Linked DNA regions of Macaca mulatta. The protein of the gene in region 2 binds, or shares a complex with, the protein of the main gene of each other region. Links are inferred from orthologs where the notes say so. Each region holds a gene or a part of one and is shown on either strand. Other genes may lie near its edges. The genes, in order: CACNA1E and CACNA2D1.

Region 1 (12,775 bases), on a different chromosome or scaffold from region 2:
TACTGATGAAACAAGAAAAAAATGTGTCATTTTTTTCTCCTAGAGAGCAGCCAGGAACCTACCAAATAAATAGAAAATAAATGGTAAAATGGGTGGCCCAACTGAGCCCCAATTAAAGTGAGATCAGTGCATCCTAGTGTGTGGAATTGTCCTTAGATTTTAACATTAGAGTCAATTTTTGAACCTGATAGAAATTTAATTAATTAGGCAGTGTAAAAACATCTGATGATAATTTAGTAGCAGAGACTAGCAAAGTATTACCGAACAATTACATTTAAATGATTTGTAAAATGCACGTGAATTATTTCCAAAACAATGTGCCTCAATTAAGGTACTTGAAGAGCTCATCCTTTTAGTTTAGTGAAATGTCTTCCTTGCGATCTTGTTGGCTTTGATAATGGCTTAAATCACTCTTGTATATGTGGATTTGGGAGCAGTACTTTGGCCTAGTCCCTGTGTAAATTATATTTTAACTAATGGGGACTAAATTGTTGAGGCTTTTCTTGACTCCAGGGCCTTTGTTATTCAGTACTCTTTTCATTTCAAATGGCAATTTTTAAATCAGTTAAATCTTGCCCCTGGTAACAAAACTGAGGATGAAAGCATAGTTTTCTGCAGCTATTCCAATTTATAGCTTTTCAATGGCTCCTCTGCAGTAAGAGACCTGATGAAAGATGTGTAGAGCAATGACTAATTTTTTTTTTATTTTACTTTTGGCCTGTGTGTGATTGCTGTCCCTGGCTCAGACCTGTGGGAGTTAGGATGGGACAAATAGCTCCACCCAGTGGTTTGGCAGCCACACTCAGCTGTTAAGATGAGAGTGTACCATTAAGGAACCCTGTTTTCCAAAACAAGGGACAGTGGTGAGTTTGCATTATGCCATGCATTATATGATCTATGTGGTAAGATAATGAATTATACCATGACGTTTTACTAGGATTCTGGGGGGAAATTAATTCAAGAGAGCAAATTACATCCTTTATCCAGGTATGTGGGAAGAGCAGAAAATATTGGGGCCTCCCGCAAAAGATGCGTGTCTATGAGCATGACCTCTGAGAACCTTTTCAGATGCTGCAGGATAGAAAGGTCTCCGAGATGAGGACTTGAGTTAAGCAGAAGGCAGAAGCTTGGGGTGTGTGATCCTAGACCACCTGCCTATATATTGATCTCCCACCCTATTCCTACATCTTAGAGATATGAAAGATTATCCCGTAGTTCTTTCTTAAGACAAATGTAGCCTGGGGAAAGGGAAACCTATGTAGTTATATTGGTAAACTTTTTAATTGATTTCATTTTTCCTATGGCAGCTTGCAGTTATACTTTTATTTATGTGCTTGTTTACTTGAGGTCTGCCCTACTAGACTAGGTAAGTTTCAAAAGATTGGCAACCTCATTTGGTCACAACTGTATATCCAGTATGCAGAACAGTGCCTGATATATATTAAGGACTGCACAGATGCTTGCTATATGAATGAACAAAGGTGTGTTTGGCTGACCTACCATATGCCCTGTCTTATATGTGAGAAGATGCTGGGGGAGATATTTCTGTCCTCTGAATATTTGGAGGTTATCACATTAAGGATTTAAGGTTTATAAGGCCTTGGGTCTAATTCCCAAGTCATCATTCATTTGGCATTTATAATGAAAATTAATTTAATTTTGAATATGGGATCATTTGTTGAGTAAAATGACCATTAGAAGTCTTTCCTTGTGACATACAGTAGTGGAACATAGGTTTGCCATACATTGGCAAAAAATAGGAAAGAAAAAAAGTAACCTTTATCAAAATCTGCAACTAAGAACCAAAACCTGAATTATGAACACTTCTTCTTAGCAGTAGGCCAGGACAGGGAATCATGAGATGCAGGTTCACCTATGGTGAACTCACTCAGTGAATGATCTTAGGCAAGGCACTTCCTCCTGGGGCCTCAGTTTCCTTTGCAGTTGGGTAGATTTCAGGGATCTCTTCCAGTTCAGAAATACACTGTGCTGTTTGACAGAACTTTGAACTAAAACCTGCTGGTGCAGAGCCTTAGTGGTTAGGAGCAAGAGCTTTGATCATCATACGTGCTTGGGTTCATGTCCCAGCTCTGCCAACTGATGCCGGGCACTCTACCTCTCTGAATCTCTTCTGTGAAATGGGGATAGTGATTCCTATGTGCTAAAGTTAGGAGGTTTAAATAAAGATTTGCACTAAAATTGCTTAGCACAGAGTCTGGCCCAGAATCAATAAAATATTCAAAAAATTTAGAAGTTGTCATTACTTCTATCTTGAAGATATTTATGCCCTTACTTATTTTAAATGCCTCACCAATAGAACTGGGATGATTTTTCATCTTCAAACTGCATAGTATGCTCACAATGGACAGGTGGTCATTTAATTTATCAAAAGGCAAACTTTGGTGTGACATCATGATCTTGACAGACAAATGCCTCCCTCCCTTATTTCAGGTTAGTTTAACAGTGATGCTCCTCTGAGCTTCTAAGAGACATCAGTGTGTCTCTCTCTGAGTGGTTGCGTGTCCCTCTTTAGATGAAACCCTTTATAAGCATAACCATGCCAGTGTGTGAGAGAATTTCTGGCCCGGAGTGGGCATAGTTCCTCCAGCCTGGTTTCTTATAAATTCACTGGAAACAGAGTTTGTCTGAAGACTACACAAGAAATGAAAGTAAACGCCTGCACTTAGAAAACTGCAGTTAAACCAGACTCCATGGAAATAATGCACAATACCCAGAAGCCTATGTAGAATTGTCACTTGTGCTGGCAGAGGGCCTTCGCCCCTGCAGGCTGGGACAGTGGCCAGGGAGCAAATGGTGTGCTGGCCCTTCCTTTCACAAAGGTGTGGACACTCTAAGTGCCAAGGCTGTGGGTGGGGTCCCTTGGGCCTGTGCTGCTCTGATTCCCTATCGTTGTAAGGTTCTCTTTTCTCCCTGAAGTGTTCTGACTGTCTTTCTTCTCTCTACCCCAACCCCACTTTTGTTTTATTTTGATTTTCTACTGCTCTCTGATTGGATCCTCCATAGGAACGCTTTGGGGTAAATATGTTCAATTATCTTTGAAGTAAAAGATACAAGGAATGAGTTGGAGGAGCAAGAAAGTATGGTTGGGAGGAGAGGGGCTCATGCATTGAGAAAAGAGTGATCAGCTTTTATTTATATCCCAGAGACCAAAATCAGGAGTCACCAAGCCTTCTTGGGAAATGATCATTCTTGTTGGTGTGGATATGTATTAGGCTCATATGTTGCCTCTTTTAGGTATGTAGACAGATGAGCCTAATGCGGTGAAATAGTTTGTAAAATATACCAAAGCCTCTGGATGTTAAAGACCATATGAATGCAATGCTTTTGGATTATTTTTATTCAGATCTAGGACTGAATAAAAGTGACTTGTAGGTCATGGCCTGTAATCATTAAGAGAGTATTAAAATAAACATTCTGGGCAAAGTCAGCATTCCTTGAACTCAATTAAATATCTTTTGGCCTCGCTTCTGTGAAAGAAAGCCCTTGCAGTTCCCATCTGATGTTCTGCACCCCATTTCCTCAGACTGTTGGTGTAAGAGTAATCTGGGTCAACATGAAGAAAGAGACAGAGCCTTACTCCACTATTTGGAGTCTTGTTTTCCACCATTTGTGTGTTTTATAAACGATAATTATTTGAATTCAATGCAAAGGTCTCAGGGGAAGAACAGGGAAGAAAGAGAAATGCAAGTTTATTGTTCATTTTATTCCTAAAAATAAAAAGAGAAACATACTGTCACTATTAGGAGTAAACATTTCCAAGAGGCTGAATAGGGAGGGTCATTAGCTGTAGGGCCAGGATAAAGGTAGGCCGGGCCTGCAGTTTGGGCCTCCCCCAGCCCAGTGACTCTCTGCAGCCTGTGCTAGGTGCACACCGTCTGCAATGGAAGGTACTGCGGGAAAAACCAGCCACACAGAGGTACTGCAGTGTGAGCCAAGGTCCTGGCTAGAAGCCTGCATGACATGCTTTCTCTGGAACACGTGGCCCAGCGAGAGTGTCATGTCTGCCACCACCCTGCCTCACCTTGCTCTCTCCTGCACTAATGAACTGTGCAGTGGTGACAAACCTAGATTAAGTCAAGTGCCCTGATGAGGCTTGCTCTCAACTGTGGGTTCATCAATTCAGCGAATATCATTTGAGAACCTATCATTTAACAAGCACTGGATTTGGCACAGTGGGGATCTGAAGTGGGCTACTGCTCACATTCCCTAGTTGATGTGTCTTCTGTTTTCATTGTGCCAGGGTGGTAATCAGCAGCATTAGACTGGTAGTTAGGGAAGGAAGTGTTTATTAACGTATGTGCATGGATGCTTCTGTGTGCCTATGTGTTCCTCTGTGTGTGTATATATGAGTGTGTATGTGCATGTGTGGGTGTTTATGCATGTGGATGTGTGTTCATGTGTGCACACTGGGAAGTGATTTGAGAATATTCCTGAAGCGTTTTTCGTAGGATGTCCCTGGAGTCAAATCTGACTCAAGTTTCTGGCTTCTTGCCTCCATCTCTCCCATACATCTCTCCCCTTTTAGCCTGTTGTTGCTAATGCCATAGTTTGAATGTCATTTTTATTTCTCCCCCATTCCATATGATTCCCTGGGGGCCTCTCCCCTGCAGAACCAACAAAGGACGGGACATCAAGACCATCAAGTCTCTGCGGGTGCTCCGAGTTCTAAGGCCACTGAAAACCATCAAGCGCTTGCCCAAGCTCAAGGTAGTGTTTACAGAGTTTGTTCCCATCAAATCCCCTTCTCCCGTCTTCTCTCTTTAGCCATGGCTGGCCTGCCTTTGGAGAATTTGTTCTGGGAATATTCCTTTTTCTCACACGGATATTGAAGTTCTTTTCATCTGTCTGAGCTAAAGGTCTTAGTTTCAAAGGAAAATAGCCAACATCCCAAGAAATCTGTAAGAAAGCTTTTCCTTTTAGTTCAGACCCAGGTGGTATCTTCTCTCCAGTGTGATATGTCATCCAAGAGGGAATCCTGTGTGGCTTTGTCCTGGGGCCTCCTATGTCCCCAGTGCAGACCCAGAACACCAGAATGGACGCAACGGGACCCCTCTGTGTGTTGTGGTCTGCGTAGTTTTTAAGGCCGAGTATCCTGGGACATTTTCTTTTTCTTACAGCTCTAGAGGAGAAGAGGCTCTTCTGGCCCCACCCTTTATAATTTTGAGGCACAAATAGGTCAGTAACTTGTCCAAGGACATGCAGTCCATTTTTGGCAGAGGCAGAGAAGAAATGGGGAAGTGAGCTGACATGAATTAAGTTCTTCCTATTGCCAGGATTTTTACTAGGTATCTTACCCAGATTTCTCCTTGTCTAATACTCCACCTGCTCAACTCGCCTGGGGCTCCACTTTCCATGAGCCTTCCTGCCTCTCAGGAAAGCATCATGCGCTCTATTACACAAGTCTGCTAGCCTGTTGAACCCACCTGCCCCACCCCACATACTTTGCTGTTAATAGAAGCTGAGTCTCCATGGGAGGAAAGTTCTTTCTCCCTGAATTCCTATGAATGTCAGCAAGTCACTGCCAGGGAGAGGAACAGAGCTCCTGGTTTCCAGCCCCAAAGTCTTTCTGCTGCTCAGTCCACACAGCCAGCCAAGCCCCATCTTCAGGGGCTACACCAGAATACTTTCCAGCAAGCAGACTCAATTCCCTAACTTCTGCATCGCATGGAATCATGCAGTGCTTCTCAAGGTGTGGGTCATAGGCCACCTGCATCAGGATCACCTGGGTACTCCTTAAAATCCAGATTGCTGGCCACAACACAACAGAGCCAGAATCCCTGTGGGAGGGGCTTAGAGTGCGCCTCTTAAACCGGCTTCCCAGGTGACTCTTAGAATATAGTGTAGTTTGAGAACCCTTGTCAACATTAAAAAGATCCCACGTGAGTGCCAGGCTCAGCTCTAGGACTTAGGAGCTATATGACCTAGGGCAAATTACTTATTCTTTGACTTTCTTTCACATGGGAAATGAGGACACCTTGTAACTCATACATCTGTGGTGTGGAGAAAATGAACTGATGTGAGTGGTCCCTGTTAGAAAACTCAACAGTTCCTCTGGAATGCCTGGGCCTGCTCTCCCAAGCCTGCCACAGGGGACAGAGCTTGGGGAGGGCTCTTGTGCATTTGACTCTCCCTTGCTTCTCAATTCCCACTTCCTACTGGATTCTCATCACCTCTGATACTCTTTGCCCACCCCGACCCCAAACCTCCTTCAGGCCTCATAGCACTGCTTCCCTTTCAGCCATTTGGCTCTGCAGAGAGGTGGCAAAACTAACTAGGTTCATGAAACAGAAGAAAAGTCACTTCTGAGAGGCCCTGATGTGACTGAAACCTGGCTACGTTTCAGAGCCCAGGGGCCCTGGCCCACCGCATGGGTTCCCAGAGAGAGACACCCATGCTCCCAAGGAAGTGGCCTGGCCGACTGCTGTCCTCCCTGGCTACCCCGCTTTGCCCCTGGAGGAGGCACTTGCACAATGTCAGCTGTTTATTACTACCTTCCTGCCCAATAATGGCCCAGTTCAGCACCTGCCCATAAATACTCATTGGGTTGTGCCTCACACCCCACAGTGTGCTGCCTGGGGCCCTGACCCTTATCAGTGTTGTCAGTGATCCTGCAGGGCAGGATTCAGTGGGCCTCAAGGAGAGTGCAGACAAGCTTGATGAGATTAGTTAATAGGCCAGAGAAAGCACCCTGCAACCTTGCTTAATTCTGTTAAATTAGAAAGGGCTAGTTCCTCGCTCTGCAGCTCCATAACCTGAGGGAGACGTAGGTGGCTCTGACGATTCCACAAGGCTGCCTGTCACTCACATTCCCCGCAGTGTTGAACTAATTAAACCAGCAGTGCTTCACCCAGTGCTGCAGAGAAGCAACTGCACAAATGCAGCACCACTGTGGGGCTAGATTATCCTGTGAGCTAAACCTAAAACCTAGAAAATAACCTAAAAATGGCCTGAAATGTGTTGAATTCCCATGTAACTCCTCACAGCTTAGGGCATAGAGTGGAGGTCACTGGAGGTCTGTCGCCTTTTAACTGAAGTGTAAGTCCCTGGTTCTATCTACCCAGTCTCGCCATCTCTAACAGAAGGTGTGTATTGGTCTTTCCCACTTTCCTTCTATTGGTCTTCATCCCCAATGCAGCCACCATAACTAGAGAACATTTACGTGAAATACTGAATATAATCACAAATGTATGAACTTGCTATGAAATATTAGTGAAATGAACAAAGATGATAGTGTATTATTACCTGATCCTTTTAGAAAGGTAAGGAGAAAATAATACATAATCAGTATATAATTCGAATCTAAGAATGTCACCAAATAAAGCACAAGCTATTTAAAGACTAAAATGGGCTAAATGATCTCAAAGATCCCTTCCAGCAATACACTTCTATGCTTCACACTAAGTGGAGTACCCGTACCAGGAACCCACAGAGGACCACATTCCTTGCTTGATAACATCAGATTTCTACTGCATTGGGTCTACATTCGGTTTCAGAACATGTGTTCCCATTTTAGGTGGTAGGTCTTTGCAGTCATAACCAGCTTAGAAGCCAGCCCTTAATCTCATGAGCGACGCCTCACCTCTTAGCAGGAAATTCTATCCTGGGACAACTTCTTAGTGGGGCTTGGTGGTGGTGGTGTGGCCCAGCTCAGCTCTAGGCAAGTGTGCAGACCATCACAGGGTTCACACAGCAGGGCTCTTTGCTCTATCCACAGGCTGTCTTCGACTGCGTGGTGACCTCCTTGAAGAATGTCTTCAACATACTTATTGTCTACAAGCTCTTCATGTTCATCTTTGCTGTCATCGCAGTTCAGCTCTTCAAGGGAAAGTTCTTTTATTGCACGGACAGTTCCAAGGACACAGAGAAGGAGTGCATGTAAGTGCCGCCAGCACATCCCACTTGATTTTGCTGAAGCATGTCCTGATGAGCCCACTCCACCCCCACAGGTCCACCTTCCCTCCTTTCTATCTTACCCATCTCCACGCTTCTTTCAGCAAAAAGACAAAACAGGGAATCAATAAACTTTTTATTGAGTGCCTCTTTTGTGTCAGACATGAAAACTTCAGTGTAAACTGTCTTGTACCATGACATTTTACACTCGAGTTTTCATTTTAAACCCCTATAATGAGCTATTAAAATGAGTTTTATTTGCTTATTATACAAGTGGAAGCTAAAACTCAGAAAGTTAACCTTAAGCAAGTTGCTCAAGGTTACACAGCCACTAGTGAAAGGGTTGGGATTTACTGCCATATCCATTGGGCACCAAATCCCATTTTTGCTCCATGGTAAAAATACGTTCCTTTAATAAAATTCCTTTTCCTTACACATATATGGTGATCATTATTACTCCCAAATTATTGTGGCCTGTAGAATGTGCTGACTCTTCCATGAGCTATAGTGAGGGGTCCCTCTTTCATTTCTGCTCTGGTTTTAGAGGCAACTATGTAGATCATGAGAAAAACAAGATGGAGGTGAAGGGCCGGGAATGGAAGCGCCATGAATTCCACTACGACAACATTATCTGGGCCCTGCTGACCCTCTTCACCGTCTCCACGGGGGAAGGATGGCCTCAGTGAGTGACTGAGTTGGCATGCTTGTATGTGGCTGTGATAGGCCCCCCGGTTGCCTTGAGAAGCTGACTCAAGATGAACAAGGCTCACCCTTTGTTATTGTATCAGGGAAAGTAAGGGGTTTTCAGAAGGTGACACAGGCAGAAAAGAGGAAGAATGAAAATTCTTCAGGCAAAAATGGAGAATCGGGTGAGCAAATCAGGGAAATATTTGAAACTCTTAATGTTTTAGCCAATTATTGAGGAGTTGAGTGGAACCATCTGACTTCTGTGGAACAAATGAGTTTTGAACAGCCCTGTACCCGTAAGGAGAGCTCCTGAGAGCTGTTATAGACAGATTTATCCTCCAGGGGGACCCAGTACCTGAGAGCCTGAGGATTGAGGGTTAAGAATGAGTTGGCAAAACCCAAAGGCACTTCCTGTGATCATGAAGAAGACCACAGAATACAGGTCTTATGCTGCCCATAGCTGAAAGCTAATTTTTCAGAGACTTAGCAATGACTAAGACACCACTTTCTGGTGGCAGCATGTTCTTGTTGGCAGCAAACTGTTAAATGGAAATCTGGGAGTCTCTTTGTATTGAACATGGCAACCTAAACTATGAAATTATGTCCCTCTGTTGCTTAGGAGTCGAGTGCATGATGGAACGGGGGCTAGAAAGAGAAGCGGATTGTTGATAGCAGGATATGACACTTGGGTTTGGACTCAAAAAACTTAATGGAGGATCTACAAAGTCAAAGAAGTCAGATAAAATATTATAATAGGTGGCATATCTCCTAATGAAGCCAAGACTGTCATCCACCATCTGTGCCCTCTCGTTCTGTCCCCACAGAGTTCTGCAGCACTCTGTAGATGTGACAGAGGAAGACCGAGGCCCAAGCCGCAGCAACCGCATGGAGATGTCTATCTTTTATGTGGTCTACTTTGTGGTCTTCCCTTTCTTCTTTGTCAATATCTTTGTGGCTCTCATCATCATCACCTTCCAGGAGCAAGGGGATAAGATGATGGAGGAGTGCAGCCTGGAGAAGAATGAGGTAACAACAATTGGTCTAAAGTGGGAGGCAGCAGGGGCTCCAGAAAGGATTCTTGGGCCAGCAGTGTAAGAAAGGAGGACTGCATTTTCTTAACTTGATTAAGAATTATAGAGAGAAGATGAGAAAAGTAATTATTCAGCCATTAAATAAACATTTTCCAAGCACTGTTTAAGGCCTGTGTATGAGGCACAGAGATCTGGAAGATGTGTAAGATGTTTATGATGCAGTCATTACCTTTGTGTATGCATAGTCTAGAAAACAAAGATGTGTGGCACAATGATAATATCAGATATCTGCTTATCTGGCTGCTGTGACCTTCCATGCCATGTATTTGCTGTAAGGGCAGGGAATGTGTCTTATCACAGCTTTTCCAGCAACAAGCATAGTTCTGGCACATTGTAAGGTTTCAAAAGCTTTTTTTGAAATTTCTTTCCTTTTTTTTTTTTTTTAACAATGGAACTGAACTAGAAACGTTAGGGACTGTAAGAAATGTGACAGAAAGTGCTGTAGAAATACATAGGTAGGTAGATCTTTACTTCTGACTAAGGGCACCAAGGAAGGCTTCCTGCCTAAATAGCTCAGCCACATGCTGTGTAAAGGACTTTTTAAATAATCATGAAGTCTCTACTCCACGTGACAACACCTCCTTCAAGGTGATGCCTTGTCTGTAGTTTTGTCTAGGTGACCCCAGTTGCCATCTTTACTTGCCCAGCCCTGCCCTTTTTCCCATTCACTGCCCTCCTCTTCTGAGCATGGAACAGAGCCTGCCATGCTAGATCTATGGGATCTGAGCTTGTGCGAATAACCATGACTTTCTTGCAGAGGGCGTGCATCGACTTCGCCATCAGCGCCAAACCTCTCACCCGCTACATGCCGCAGAACAGGCACACCTTCCAGTACCGCGTGTGGCACTTTGTGGTGTCTCCGTCCTTCGAATACACCATTATGGCCATGATCGCCTTGAATACCGTTGTGCTGATGATGAAGGTGAGAGGAGAGAGGCACAAGAGCCGGCTGAGCCCCAGCGATGGTTCCCTCCCACGGCAAGTGGGAAGACACCCCAACATCCCAGCCCGTCACTGCTTTACCTACTTTTCCATCATGGAATCCTTTTGTGATCTGTATTTTGTTCAACAACCCAACCTCTGGGGCTTTGGGGGTCCACTGAGCAAAATGCAGTGCAGCCTATAGTAGCCATCCAGGGGCTCCCAAGACCTGAGATGGCAATGGGAAGCAGCTTCAGACAAGGGTGGGAAAATCAGGAGACAGAGATCCATCATCATGGGGTCTGAAGAAGCCTTGGAGTACTCAGACAGGCTCATCCTGTTTAATACTAAATGACTAACTCCAGTAACTAACTCTAGAAAATGTTTCTTCTCTGCCCACCCTCATCTCTAGGAAGACTGGCCATTTTGCTGTTAAGTCTGGTGGAGTGTGGGTCTGTGTTTTCCTTTGTTTTGTTGGGTAGAATATGTGGTTCTCCCCTCCAGCACTCGAAGTCCATCTCTCCTCCTGTACTGCGTACCAGAGTCTCCTACAGGGCAGGAATGAGAGATGGCCAACCTCGGTGACATGTATTCCCCCTCTTACCTTAAGGCTGTGATTCTTTCTCTCTTCTTTTCTCTTCCTGGCAGTATTACTCTGCTCCCTGTACCTATGAGCTGGCCCTGAAGTATCTGAATATCGCCTTCACCATGGTGTTTTCCCTGGAATGCGTCCTGAAGGTCATCGCTTTTGGCTTTTTGGTATGTCGCTGAATCCTTCCCAGCACTGGGCGTGTCTCTTTCTGTTGGGTGCTTTCCCAGCCTTTGTTGAAAGGGAGGTGGTTACTGCTATTTCAGAAATCACCCACCTAGATGTGGGCTCGTTTTGACTGCTCAGTAAACTGCCATAGAGACAAGATGTGTGAGGAAGTTGGGAGAAAGGGCAAAGGAAGCCACATCCCAGGTTCATGCTTATGGGGCTATCAGCCCTGGTCCTGTGAAATTCTGTCAGCAGTCCAGAGGCGGCCATCATTGGGTTTTACTAGAACTACAATTTATGTGTAGATGAAGGAGCAAGCCAAAGATTGGACTAATAAACTTCGAGTGCTTATTTACTGGTAAAAGGTATAAGAGCTTTATAACACAAATGGGAAAATACCTATCGCTGTTAGCCTCAAACATAGCAAATAATAGATTTTACCTATTAGTCCTTCTGCCATTAGTAACATGAAGAATAGTTTCTGCCAAAGAAAATAGGTGTTTATTACTTATGCCTATAAAGGTTAATGGCCTTTAAGAGGTATGTGTGTGTGTGTGTGTGTGTGTGTGTGTGTGTGTAGTGCAACGGGAAGGATTCTGGAATTAAGTCTGAGGAGGTTTGGCGATGATGAATTTTTCTGCTAGGAGCCCTCTTTTTTCTTCTCCTCAACTACTATTAATAATTATAATGTTTGGCAAATTCTTGCATCTGTTCTCAAGAGTGTTAAGAAAACCTAGCCCTTTGCTTCAGTGTCCTATAAACAAGATAATCCCGTTGGCCACCCTCCCCCCACCTTGCTTCAGTGTGTACAGTGAGTTCAGTGGGATGCAAGCCCACGTGACAGCTGTTTCACACTTACTTAGGGTGTGAGCTACCATTTCAAATTACATGGGTATGTGGCTTTCCCTGCAAGAAGGAGAACTTTGCTCATTATCTGAATAAGTGTTTGTCTGGTAGCAGCTTTAACAGAGGCTCTGGGCTGGGTTCAATAATTGTGAGAGTTGATTACGGGGGCTGCTTTTGGTCTCCCAGCGGGTTCTTTGAAAAACCATTAATTTGATCATTTTGGGTGGAGAGTTTAAGGGAACCAATTGCAGTTGGCTGCATTGTGTTTGCCTGGCTCCCTTGTGAGTGTTTTGAGACTTGGGGAAATAAAAAAGTAAAAGAAACTACTACCAACAAAGATGCCTTTATAATACAGTCTAGCCCTGAGCAGGGGGAGTTGACCGAGAGGGAGACACAAGCACCACAACAGGGAAAGTTTTTCTGTGCATATTGATTACTTGTATGTGGTATTGACATTGTCTGTGACTTCAGACCCATTATGTGTCTAATTATGGCGAATGCTGAATATATACTCACAGCCTTAACTAGATTCGGCCCTTGAAGCCTGCATCCTTCCCACCCT
Region 2 (12,775 bases):
CCTGGAAACCGATGACAAACACAACAAACGTGTGTGCTCTAGTAACACAATCATGATGATTCCAGAGCATTAGAAAATAAATTGCAAAACAGTAAATGAAGAACTAAACGCAAATGCAAGCGCCGAAACCTCCCGTTAGTAGTACTGAATACAGAACTCAGAAATTTCTTCAAAGGTTAATAATTTTGGGCTAGATAATGTAATATTAAATAAAATGAACTTAGAAACTGGAAGCACTTATTCTAAAATATTTCAATATTTTGAGGGTAAAAATCTAAAAAGTTATTTAAGTCAGATTTATTTAAGTAGAAAAATCTGAAAGGAATTAAATTTGCGTTAGCATCTTTTGTAAATAAACTGAGATAACCACCTCTAAAAATTGTCATTAGATAGTTCTCATATCATGAAGCATGTATATTTGTCTCTGCAATGACAATTTTTATACAAAAACTTTATGAAAAAAATCATTTTTACATAAATATTGAAAACTAATATGTTTCATTTAGGATTAGAAATTTACATGCCATTTGAAATCAGCTATTTCCAAAACAACATTGGTCCTGAGATTTTAATAACCTAGTTTCAGGAACATTAATATCATGGATTTAGGGATATGGGTGACTTTCTAAAATTTCAAGCCAAAAACAAAAAGAAAAATTAGGGAAAGTGACTGACCATCCACACCACATGAAAACTTGCAGTAAAATGAAGATAGGAGCTGACATCATGGTACAGGCACCACTCGTTGTGCATTTAAGTTGATCCTATTAATAACGGGCAAAGTAGCAAGTACAGGAAAAGGAAAGAAAACACAGAAAAGAAGACATACAAGATGAGATTTCATGCAATTTGCTGGCAGTTAACGTGAGTCTCCATCCAGAGCAGATTCACAGTGACCATTGCAAATAAGCATTACCAAAATACTCCACTGCTAAAGAAACACAAGATATTATTAGCATACCAAGCTACTGAGCAACAGTTGTACTTTCACACACAACCCGTTTATAGGAGCTTCAATTGCTGAACATTTTTGTCTTGGTCAAATCTTTTTAATGCCTTGATCATAAGATAGAGCCTCCTAGAATAATATTTTGGGCAAGAGGGTTTTTATGTCATTTTTTCAAGTTCATCTGAATATTCCTACTGTCAAAAAACTGGTGGCAAATAGTTGATGAGTGAAGCTTCTCTAACGAGTGACATGACCCTTGGCGCTTCATAAAATATTCTTTGGGAAATAATTTTACATGGGCAACTTGCTGAAGGTGTAGTAGGCAGAATAACATGAGTCCTCCTATCTGGACTTTAAATGTCTTAAGGAAAAAAAAAAAAAAAAAAAACCCTTAGTGGCAATGTTGAAATACTTTCCCTAGCAAGGATCAATAATCCCTCACAGAGATAACTGGGATTGACTGGCTAATACATCTTGAATTTATCACTGATTTTATTTCTTTCTTTGCTCCATTTTTAATTTATATTATCTGTGAAATGTTTTATCCTTTCTGGGACAAATGCAGCTATGTATTTGAGTAGGTAAACCTCTTCTAAATAACTCTTAAAAATGCACATTAATCAATAGATGTTCTGACCTATTTTTAGAATAAACAATTTATGAGATAATGCATTACACGTTTGGATGCTCATTGGTGTGTGCAAGCCACTTCATGCAGTGGCACACCTGGAAGAATCAGAATTGGGAAGTATCGTATTTAAAATTAGTTAAAAAGAGGTGGACAGAGATTTTTATGTGGACTTCATCTTTGAGAATAGATTAGTATTTCTAAAGCATAAAGCTAATGTATTACATACTGATGATGTATTACCTACCTTGTACATAATCAATACACAATAAGTCAGAATAGTATTTATTAGGGAAAGATAGATGAACTATAGGAAACGTAGTAAGCCATCTTTAAGTGACATATATTTAATATGATTTGTAATATTTTATCAAACTAACCCTGTGTAATTGACCTGGTCTAATTTCAAACACCAGAAAAAGAAATTAAATAATACAAGTCTAATATGTGATAGAATCAGAAACCATCCAAAAGAAACCAGAACTCCATAATAATAAGACAATGGCTGTATAACAGGTTTTTCAATTCACTGAAGACGAATATAACTAATAAAAATGTAATAAACTTAATTTTTATATCTTCAGGATTGGAATATAAATAGAGGCAACAAATATATCATAATTAACATTTACTATGAGTTAATTATTTATTAATCTTGAAAATCAGATTTATGACCTTGGATTATTAGTCAATTGATTGGAATTGTGTTTGAAAGCACAATTTCTGTGGGAAGGACATACAAAAGAAGCAACTGTTAAGTTTATGCTAACCATGAAAACTACTGAAATGAAAAAAATCTACCAGCAAGTATGTCATGTTAATGAGAAAAACTATGGTTAAGACATTATGTTTGAGTTAAATTGTCTCCTTGAATTCTTGTGGCCAGTGAGCATTAATTTATAGTATTTCAATCCAGTAGAAGCGTGATCTTACCAAGACATTGTTATCAAAGCAGACATCAGGCCCTTTTCGGTATCTGGGTTGCTTAACCATGTCACAAGGATTTGGACCATCAGCTAAAGAGGCTTGTTAAGGAATCTCTTGTTAGTTTTTTTTCCACATGACTAAAAATAAATACAATGCAATGTATTTCCCAAAACATGTAAGAGATAACTTATACATCATTACTCTCATCCAACACAATTCAAGTACATTGGGATTTAAAGAACTAAATTGTGAATTATCCTTTTCTGGGGCATGTGTAGCATAATTATTCTTGACATTCCAACCAAATTTTGAGTGAGGAATCCATTCTGCCTTTGCGAGGTGATCAGAGCAGTCTAATATTTTTCCTCTTTATGAGCATAAACAATGTGACAAGATTCAAAATGCATTATTTTAAGATGGTTTTCCTTTCCAGATAGCTCTGATGTCAAAGGATACAAGTCTGTTCTGCTTGTATGAGCAGTCGTGTGTCACAGGGACATGTCCCTTTGCTCTCAACCATTATGAATATTAAGTTGGTGTTCATAAGCTTTTCGCCATGAAAGATTCTGCAAAATATGATATCACAGAAAATGAGTATCTTTGTCAAAATAAATGGAAATATTTCAAAGATTCTTACATATTAAAATGAAAGACAAAATACGACATTTGAAACATAAACCATTCCAAGCACAACAGGAGTATGATTTTAGAAGGAAAAAAAGTTTCATTTATTAGTGTGAAAATATTACCTATGTCAAATGAATAAAAAATTGCAATAGATGTTTTATGTGTGACCATTTTAAGTATTAGTTCTCATTGCAAAATAAGCACTTTTTAGTTGTTGATGCACATAGAAAAATTTCTTTACACTTACAAATAATTGTGATACTTATCACTGAAAATATGCCAAAGTTGCCTTATTTTACAGATAACACAACAGGGAATACAAAAATGTCTAGGCATCTTGCCCAAACTAAGGGCAGAGAAAAGTCTGGAACAGTGCTATTAAGCAAAGTTTCTGTGAAGATGGAAAAGTTTTTTGCACTGTCCAGTATGGTAAATACTAACCACTCAAGGGGTATTGGGCACTTAAAATGTGACAAGTGTGACTGAGGCACAAAAATTTAATTTTAATAACTGTAATTGAAATTTCGATGGCCACCTATGGGTGGTAACTACTGCATTGGACAACACAGACATGGACAGAATCAAAGGTTTTGAATTCTATCCCCTGTTTTGTCCACACCTTAAGCTGCTCTTACTTTAGTAACCAACACAGAAAATGTAAATATATATCACTAAAAAAGTAATTTCTTCATCATTATACATTTTGCAGAAAAGTGGGATTTTCTTTTTGCTCTGTTAAGCTTTGATTTCCATAAAACAAATCAAAAGGAAAGTATGATTCAATTTAATGTCTTGGTTATATTGACCTTCACTTTACAATTTAACTTACTTCTTTAAGCACACGTTGCTCTTGCTGGATGTCAATTAATAAAAGGCCAATGACTGTGAAACTCTGATGTATCCAATAAACATGCCACAATTCCATTTCCTGAGGTCCATAGCCTGATACGCTAATCTCCTCTAAACAAGATAGTCTGCTTTTTTGTGAGTTCATGCTTGACTCCTCCTCCCCTTTCTTCTCCTCTTCATATATTCTACCTCCTCCTTGGACATAGAGGTATGCTAGAGAAAGTCATAAAACATACCACGTCTACTAAAAATTCATGAGAGGTTGCTTAGCCCCTCTTGCAAAAAATTTTTTAAACTATTCTGGCACTTTCATAATCTCAGATTACCTCACCTCCTCCTATTTCTTCTTCTGCTATGGTAACATTTCTTCTAAAATAACCTGCCCTCCACCTCTAAAAACAAAGTGTCTCTACTCTGTGCTTTGTAAGCTGTGACTTGCTGCTCTCTTCTCAGGAATCTTGTGGCATTAATTATTACTTTCCCCTCAAAATCCCCATCTTGCCTTTCTCCTCTATCCTCATTACAATAAAATTAAATTCTCCATCTCTTCCCAACATTTTAAAAGATATTTTATGGATACTGACTAAACATTAACCATGACCTAAGAAAATTGCATTTTTTCCCAGTTCCTTCAAATTCAAATAAAGATAACATTCAGTTCTTCAAGTCAGAGAAGACTAGAAGTAAAAACAAAACAAAACAAGACTTTTTTTTGTAAATCTGTTTAGTTACCATATAGAAAAATAATTCATATTTGGCTTAGAATTATTTAGAATTACTAATATATTTAATTTTATAACTTTATATTAGAAATTTTTAATATGGGTTATTTTAGGAAAAAAGTTAAAAAATATCAAATTTCTTTGTGTTCTGCCTAAAGAGAAAGTAATTATCTTGATCATGTAATTATTATTATAGTTGAAGAAATAACAGCTTATCAATGTTAGAATTTTAAAAATTATAAATTTTAAAAGCCTACAGAGAAACTAAAGATCTCTGACATTTTCAACTTAAAACAATTACTCACATCTCTGGCTCCAACACAATTTTCAGTTTTTTCTGTAATGATTATAACAGTATATACAATTTCTTAATGAAATAGGACGACTCCAGAAATAAAGAAAGAAATTACCTGGAACAGTTTCCACAGTCTAATACACCACTGAATGATTTACTATCGTTATCGAAGAAATACTGGGTTTGTTCAGTAATGCAGCTCTGCTTTGACAGGGAGGCTGTAAAGTCATCATCCTCCATCTCAACTTGGGTGGGGAGAGGGGGGTAAAAACAAAGAACACCATTAGAAGGGGCCACTGTAGTCAGTCCCCTGGAGTCTTCACTTCTCACAGAGCAAAATAAATGTCTAAGACCAGGAGGCCTGGACTGGCTTGTTTACTGCTGTGTAATATCGTGGCAGCCCGTAATAGATGCCTGATAAATATCAATAGAATAAATTAATTTAAATACATGATGGCTATGAGATCAAGGCCAATGTGACCTAAGTAATTTCTAAGACATTAGGAAAGGTTGGACAAAAAGTTTCTAGATCTAAAATTATGAGATGGGTGATCTGTTTTCTCTTTCTCACACAAATATTCTCTGAATTTGCTGAACTCAAGCATATCCCCCCAAATAATTTTTATCGTTATGACAGTGACAAGGTCTGAGCATTTACATACCTGCCTCAAGGAGTCGTGGAAAGGTCAAACTCAAGAGAAACTGCTGTAGAATAGACCTGAGTTTTTCAAAAAAAAAATAATAATAAAAATCTAGGGAAAAATGTGTTTTTACATGCACACATACACATACCGTTTCCCTTTATCTTTTTGGGAAGGAAAGTCTAGGAGTGTTTTTATTTAAGTATTTTTAAAATTATATAACACATTGTAACCTTTCTTGAATGTGTCAAGTCATGAAATCAGAAGTATTCAGATCTTGTTCTGGACCAAGTGAGACACAGTGTGTTAAGAAGCCTAATAGGCAATGTTATCAAGCAGAAGTGTTCACTCTAAGGAGAATGTCAGTGTTTCAGCGCATAGGTTTTTACATTCATTACATCTCCTTATTTTAGCTTTTAAAACCATTTGTTTTTTGAATTCCCCCCGCCCCCAACAAAGAAACAACACTGTTTATACCATGGGTTTGAATTTGTTAACTATTTACTTTGTAATACAGAAAATATTTGTAAATATGTAATGTAACTTTCATGAAACAAAATATACATATTATATAGAGAGATATGGCACATTTCAGTTTTATAGTAACTGACAACTGAGCCAAATTTCTAGAACTGAATTTAGTTTAAAACAAGTGGGGGTGGGAGGGGATATAGGATAAAGAAAGTATTTCAGGGTCATGATGAAATTTTAAAAGCCTACTGAAATTAATATATAAAATCACATCAGAAAATACCATTTTTTCAGAATAAAACAGAATTTTCTAAATCTTTCAAATTATCTCAAAATTTTAAAATCGTAAAATCTTCTTTGCTGCTTTAATGATATCATCACTTAATTTTAGCTGGCAAACCTCAACATCAAATGAATATTGTACATTAATCTATGTGGAATAGGGCTAACAATACAGTGTGATGATACCAAAAAAAAATAAATAAATAAAAATTAGAGGGGAGAGAAGGAAGAGGGAGATCATGGATCCCAGACGTAACAGGCTTAGTTACAACTAAACAATAAGAAATGTGATCTTCCAGACTTTCCACAGTGCCACAATTGACCATTTGAATGTCTTATTTTCATAGGTTGTATGGTCTACAGGTGAGGGATGGGGGAGGTTTGGAAGGTAGAATCGGTGAAAAGAAACAATTAGATCCATTTCAGCAACATGATGCCCCTAAAACGATACCAGTACTTGTATCAATAGTAAAGAGGTAGAAGGTTGCCATCATGCCATGAATTTGATGCATGCAGACATCCAACTTGGATACTAAAGACAATTAAATTGTAACTTCTTACAGATCAATACACCTAAAATTGGTGTAATACTTTAAAAATACTTAATACAAATGAAAAGAATTTCAATAGATGTGTAGAGGAAAGAAGACTCTAAAGAGGTTGAAGTTTACATCCACATAACATTGTTTTCATATGAGAAACTGAATAATGGTAATTTTATAGTGCTCACTTAGGAAAAAATATCACTATTACCAATAAGTGATGCAGAGAATGAAAAAACCTTAACTCCCTTAATAAAAAATTTGAGTGTCCCCTAAATCCATATTTTCATCAGATGCTTTTCTATTTTACGACTTCTTTCATTACCAATAAAACTAAAATTTTGACCTACCAGGCAGCAGCAGTGGCCCACCAGCCAATTTGTAATATGTCTGCTATTGATGGCTATAAAATAAAATAATAAAGTCATTTCAGTAGTCTACTTGATACTGAGGACACTTGAGTATCCTCTTGAGAAGAATTGATTAGACTGTGGATATTACTGACCACATATGCTGAGCGATGTCCTGCTCCTTGTTTTGGTGCAGCACCAGGCTCGCATACTGACTGATAATCATAAGATTTGTTAAAAGCATAAACTGATATATTAACCAGGTGTCTCATCAAGCTGGGATCAATCTCTCCAAAAAATCTTCCAATCTGGTGAAGAAAAAAATCATAAAGCAATGTGTACTTAAAATGTAAGTCAAAAATGAACATTGGAATCACCACTACAGTGAAAAGAAATAATACAGAGAAACTGAACTACAACTGAGGAGCTTAAAAACAAAAGCAAATGAGAAACTGTATATGACACTGTGAACAAATTAAAATGAGAGTAAGTGTTCTCATTACTCAGTGGGGCTGTGTGATGTTTTATTTGTGGAAGGAATGGACACACATTACTAAGCACTAAATCACAATCAAATGTCTCCCAGATGAATAAAACAGGGGTGGGGAATGAAGAGGTGTAAGTCAAAGGGTACAAAGAAGCAGTTATGTAGAATGCATCAGCCTAGAGATTCAATATACAACAGAGGACTGTAGTTAATAATACTGTTTTGTCTACCAGAAATTTGATGAGAGTAGATTTTAAGTCTTCTTACCATACTGCAAAAAAGGTTAACAACCTGAGATGATGGATATGTTAATTGGCTTGACTTCAGTAATCACTTAACTATGCAAATCGAAACATTTTGTTGTACATCTTAAACATATACAATAAAAAAAAAAGATCAAATGCCCCCCTGGGGAATGGAAAAGTAGCATAAATGAGAGAGCAGGCTGGCCAAGAAAAAGAACTTGTAGGGACTGTGATGAACTGGAACAAGTCCCATCTAAAGGGGCAATCACGAGTTAATCAGCTTCAGCCCATAAACACTGTCATCCAGAAAACAAAAAAAGCCCAGTGTTGAGATCTCTTTTGCTTTTTCCAAAAAAGAGAAGCCAGGAATATAGATTCAGAAGCGAAATTAGTTGGCATCGAATTCAAATTTGTTAAAAATCTTGTATGAGGTAAATAGCCTATGTGCTGCTAATTTGCAGATTTGAGACTAGAAATCACATCAGTTTTAACCAGCTATATATTAAATTAGATATCATCAACTGACAAATTTTGAAGTGAAAATTTTCTAAATATCTGAAAGATTAAAAAGGTCATATCATGCTAAAATTCTGAACTGTATGTTTTAATGATACCAGTACTAAAATGTAAAATCAAATAACATAAAAGCTAGACTTAGCACGCCTTTCTTAATGGTTTACATAATATTAAGCATTTTACAAATTATTTTATGATAGAAACAAAACATCTCATCAATTTCTAAAACACTGAAAGAGGTTTTGTAATGTTGATCAGGGAAACACACTTTGGAAAGCCTAATTCTCTCTTATTTCAGGCACATACCTGATTAGTATAATCATCATGATTTGCCATCAAAAGAAACCCACCGTCATCCAGAATTACACAATCCATTACCTACCAAAATAAAATGAACAGTTAACACATTTTTAGAAAGGTTTGGAGGTTGTATTGTCTTTACCCCATTATACGTACATGATTAGAGCAATAAAAAATAGAAAATTTTAAATGACTATCTTCTCTTGAACGTATATGTTCATGAAATTCTGGTGAAATAAAGGCCTGCATTGATTTATATCAAACCATCACGCTTGATAATCCAACACCAACCATCCATTTGAGACTGTCAATTCAGTCTGAACAAATCATAAAAGCAAATCCGAAATAATCTTTTTACCACTTTCGTGTCATCTAAATGATCCAGAAAAGTGGATAATTATTTAATAATGAATAACTGATTTAAACACATACTTAGGATTTCAACAAAAAGATATTTTAAAAAATATCATTTTAGTTATCCTGTTTCACAGACTTAAAACACGTCAGTACTGTAAGACTATAATTATTTCATATTTTCAGATTGAAAATATGTAGTTGGATAATTGGAGATTTAAAAGCAAAATGCAAAACAAAAAATGTCCATGGTTAAGAAAATACTTAATTCACCCTGAAACATAGGATAAATTCCTACCTAGTTTAAAACATGTTTTAATGTATGAAAATCAATATAATTTGTATTTAATAAAATCACAAATAAAAACATTGTTTTCAAAGTTGAGGATGTAATGCATTGCATTTTCCTAATGTTGAAGCAGCTTATTACTAAATTTTTTGCTCTTAAAACAGCTACTGCATAGTCTATGTCAAATAGATAAGTTACAAAAATCATTGAAATTATTTGCTCATAATTCCACACGAGTGGGAGTGATAAAGATGATATAAACCGCCTGTTTCCCTTGGAGATATGCAGACACACATAAGAGGACTGGAAGAAAATATCGTTTCATCATTGTTACTCAATTTTTAGAATTAGAGCATCTTCAACTTTTGAAGAAAGTTCACATTTCCTTTTCCAATTTCTCAAACAGATGTGAAAGTAATACAAGACAACTTAAAACTCAATCCATGTAACTAGAACTTTATAATAAACTGAAATACTTCTGGGTTTAGTTAAAAAAAATTTTCCTATAACTATATAATACACTGTGAACAAATTTAGAGAAAGTGTGATAGGTGAGAGAAAACTGCATTGATAACGAATAGAGATGCTTTGGTTAGAAACTTCCTATCCAGAAATAGAGCTAAACATAAATATGTGCAAAAGAATGTAACACCGTTGAGACCGAAGAGAACCATCACATTGACATGACTACTTTTTTAACCTTCCAAGGACATATACATATTTTTAAAAATTCAAGCATTTCACGTTCAAAATCAAAAGCATATAAATTCAAATGAAGCCACTGCACTCCAGCCCGGGCGACAGAGCGAGACTCCGTCTCAAAAAAAAAAAAAAAAAAAAAAAAAAAAAAATTCAAATGAATATATTATTTCACATTTCCGTAGAATTTTTTAGCCTTTGATTAAAAATTCCTGCATATTTTTTGTCATCATTCTAGTCTTAGCAAGAGTAACACAGGGAAATATTGTACTCAAAAGTGATTTTAAACAGTTTTCTTACATCACTGTTTCTTTTGCAGTCACAAACTGGACCAGCACACTGAAAGACAAAAAACCGATTATTACATTTTTTTAGCAGTTGTATTTTAATTACATTATTACTATGTTATAATTAGAAATTCTAGAATAATTTATCCAGGAGAAAAATGAGATTAAACAGTCTAGTCCATAAGAAACAGAAGTTTTATCTTTAAAATTAGAAAATGTCAATCAATATATAAACTAGCATTGCATGTTGTAACCTTGAAATACTTTTATTACATATTGACTAATTTAAACAAAAAGCTTTGAAAAAATAGGAATTCAGAATTCTGCTTCAGTGTAGTGGTACTGAGAACGTATTTGCCTTATGTTTATTTGTATAAAGACCTTATTTTTTTTCTACTGAATTTTGAAAACATTAAATATATCATAAGAATTTTTTTAAACTATCTTACCGGATCTCTGATTGAGGTTTTGGTGAAATTCTCTATCCAGGAATTTACATCGATTTTAATTCCAACAACTGGAAAATTAATTTGAATTAATTCAAAGGCATAATTACCTGTAATACAACCTTTGCAATATGACAGTTTAATTATTTTGATAGCAAGTATCAGATTATAGTTTATTACAGAAGTTTTAGTCTTTTGTTCTTAAGAAATAATGCTAATAGCTCTTAAACTATTACATAAATTGTAATTTATATTCACAAAGAGTGTATTCATTAGCCACAACCTGACCAATTAACTAATACAATAAGCTAAATAAAAAACATTAGTGTCAGGAGAGCCTCATAAACTTGAGGTCATTCAAATGGTATATTTTAAGAGGTTTCCCTAACTCCACCAGTGTTTGCAGTAGGTGCTTAATAAATCTTTGCTGAAAGAGTGAACAGATGAATGGATGAGTAGGTGGGTTAGTAGGAGAGTGGGTGAATAAATGAATGGCTGAGAGAATAACTGATTTAGTAACTAAATGAGCAATTGAGTGAATGAAGGAATAGGTGGATGAGTTAGTAAGTGATGGAGTGAATTAATGTAATAGATCCACTGATGGGGTAAAGCTGCCCTCAGGAGAAGGAAGGCTCAAAATACTCTCCTTTATAACTTCAAACACTGAATCATACAATAAAAAAAACTAATAGCTTTAACCTTATTGTATGCACTCCCTCTAGCCCACTTCCGATCCTCACTGATGCTCACTTCTACTTTGTTTGTTTACTTGCCTGTTTTTCCAAAAAGTCGTTTTTCTATATATTTTATAGCAAGTTTTTAACTGAGCCCTTCTTAATTCACTTTAACAGACACCTAGGAGAATTTAGTATAATTATGCCATATTTATCTTTTCCCTCAGGGCTGGAAACTTAACTTTTTTGTACAAATATGTAACTCCTTGGCCATATAACTTTGTATGTATTTTAAAGTATTAAGAGAGACTTCTGGAGTGGGGTTGCTAATCCAACATTAAAAATTTTTATTATTATACTAAACTGATTCCATAAATTTGTCTCAGACTATAAACATACACACAGTTTTGAAAATTTCTCAAATCTATGTAGTATCAATGTGATTTTATCCCAACTTCATAGGTAACTAGTTACATTTTATTTAATTTTTTAAGTATGCGCGCCTTTGTTGTTTGAGACCTTCTGATGACCTTGATAAACACTGCCAGTTTATAACATAAATGCCAAGTAACATTTAATTTTGGTTGTGTTTTTGTAATTAATATGTATCCTTACCTGCAGGTTTAAGAAGTTTCCCTTGAATATATATTTCTACAGCTTTGCTTACCATAATGCCCGATTCATAGGCACCAGGTCCACTTTCTAAAAAATAAATAAATAAACACCTATCAAGACGTATTGATTAATAATATTGATTTTCTGTCGTTAGATACAGATGGATAGTATTTTGCTTAAAAATTCTAGCATCTATAAACTATAAAAATGTTTGTGCTCTCCTTCCTCTCTTCTTCCTTTGTATATACTAGGCTAACTGGTATATCCATGAATTGGTTTGTTTTCATTGATTCGGGGGCATTAATTAGCTTGGTTACATCTGCTTTCACAACAATTGTTAAAATATTAGGGAGTTCTGCTGAAGTGAAGTGGAAAGATTGATTTTGGATACATAAAACTGACTTTGTCTAAGATATATGTCACTGGCAAAACTTTGAAATTCTCTGAACTTGTTTCCCCATTTATGAAAATAAAGGTAAATAGTACCTATGTGCAAAGACGTTCAGGGATTAAATTACAAGGTTTTTGGGAAATAACTCAAAATATTTTAAAAGATAAGCTATTAATTGTATAATTATAT

What was found.
Region 1: the proteins of CACNA2D1 (region 2) and CACNA1E are in contact, whole or in part, in a cryo-EM structure (PDB 8EPM), measured with the Homo sapiens proteins. The link is inferred for Macaca mulatta from reciprocal best matches to the Homo sapiens genes CACNA2D1 and CACNA1E. Residues at the interface, in NP_001353796.1 of Homo sapiens: Thr170, Asp171, Tyr173, Ile233, Leu235, Ser261, Gly262, Ser263, Ser265, Gly266, Leu267, Lys270, Ala327, Lys328, Gly329, Ile330, Thr331, Glu366, Gln391, Asn393, Tyr394, Ile416, Gly417; in NP_001192222.1 of Homo sapiens: Gln110, Leu112, Pro113, Glu114, Asp115, Asp116, Lys117, Pro119, Arg122, Asn630, Phe631, Asn632, Asp633, Gly634, Ile1330, Gly1331, Asn1332, Val1334, His1336, Met1341, Val1343, Arg1346, Arg1393, Ser1394.

What each region holds. Positions count from the first base shown.
Region 1 is NC_133406.1:39,170,746-39,183,520, forward strand, and holds part of CACNA1E (voltage-dependent R-type calcium channel subunit alpha-1E), read left to right. Parts: intron 1-3,024; coding exon 3,025-3,036; intron 3,037-4,631; coding exon 4,632-4,728; intron 4,729-7,735; coding exon 7,736-7,896; intron 7,897-8,455; coding exon 8,456-8,593; intron 8,594-9,422; coding exon 9,423-9,624; intron 9,625-10,446; coding exon 10,447-10,611; intron 10,612-11,258; coding exon 11,259-11,369; intron 11,370-12,775. UniProt on the Homo sapiens protein: Voltage-sensitive calcium channels (VSCC) mediate the entry of calcium ions into excitable cells.
Region 2 is NC_133408.1:137,474,205-137,486,979, reverse strand, and holds part of CACNA2D1 (voltage-dependent calcium channel subunit alpha-2/delta-1), read right to left. Parts: intron 12,283-12,775; coding exon 12,196-12,282; intron 10,978-12,195; coding exon 10,910-10,977; intron 10,513-10,909; coding exon 10,474-10,512; intron 8,910-10,473; coding exon 8,838-8,909; intron 7,592-8,837; coding exon 7,439-7,591; intron 7,337-7,438; coding exon 7,284-7,336; intron 5,716-7,283; coding exon 5,660-5,715; intron 5,243-5,659; coding exon 5,113-5,242; intron 3,071-5,112; coding exon 2,961-3,070; intron 2,594-2,960; coding exon 2,511-2,593; intron 1-2,510. UniProt on the Homo sapiens protein: The alpha-2/delta subunit of voltage-dependent calcium channels regulates calcium current density and activation/inactivation kinetics of the calcium channel. Plays an important role in excitation-contraction coupling.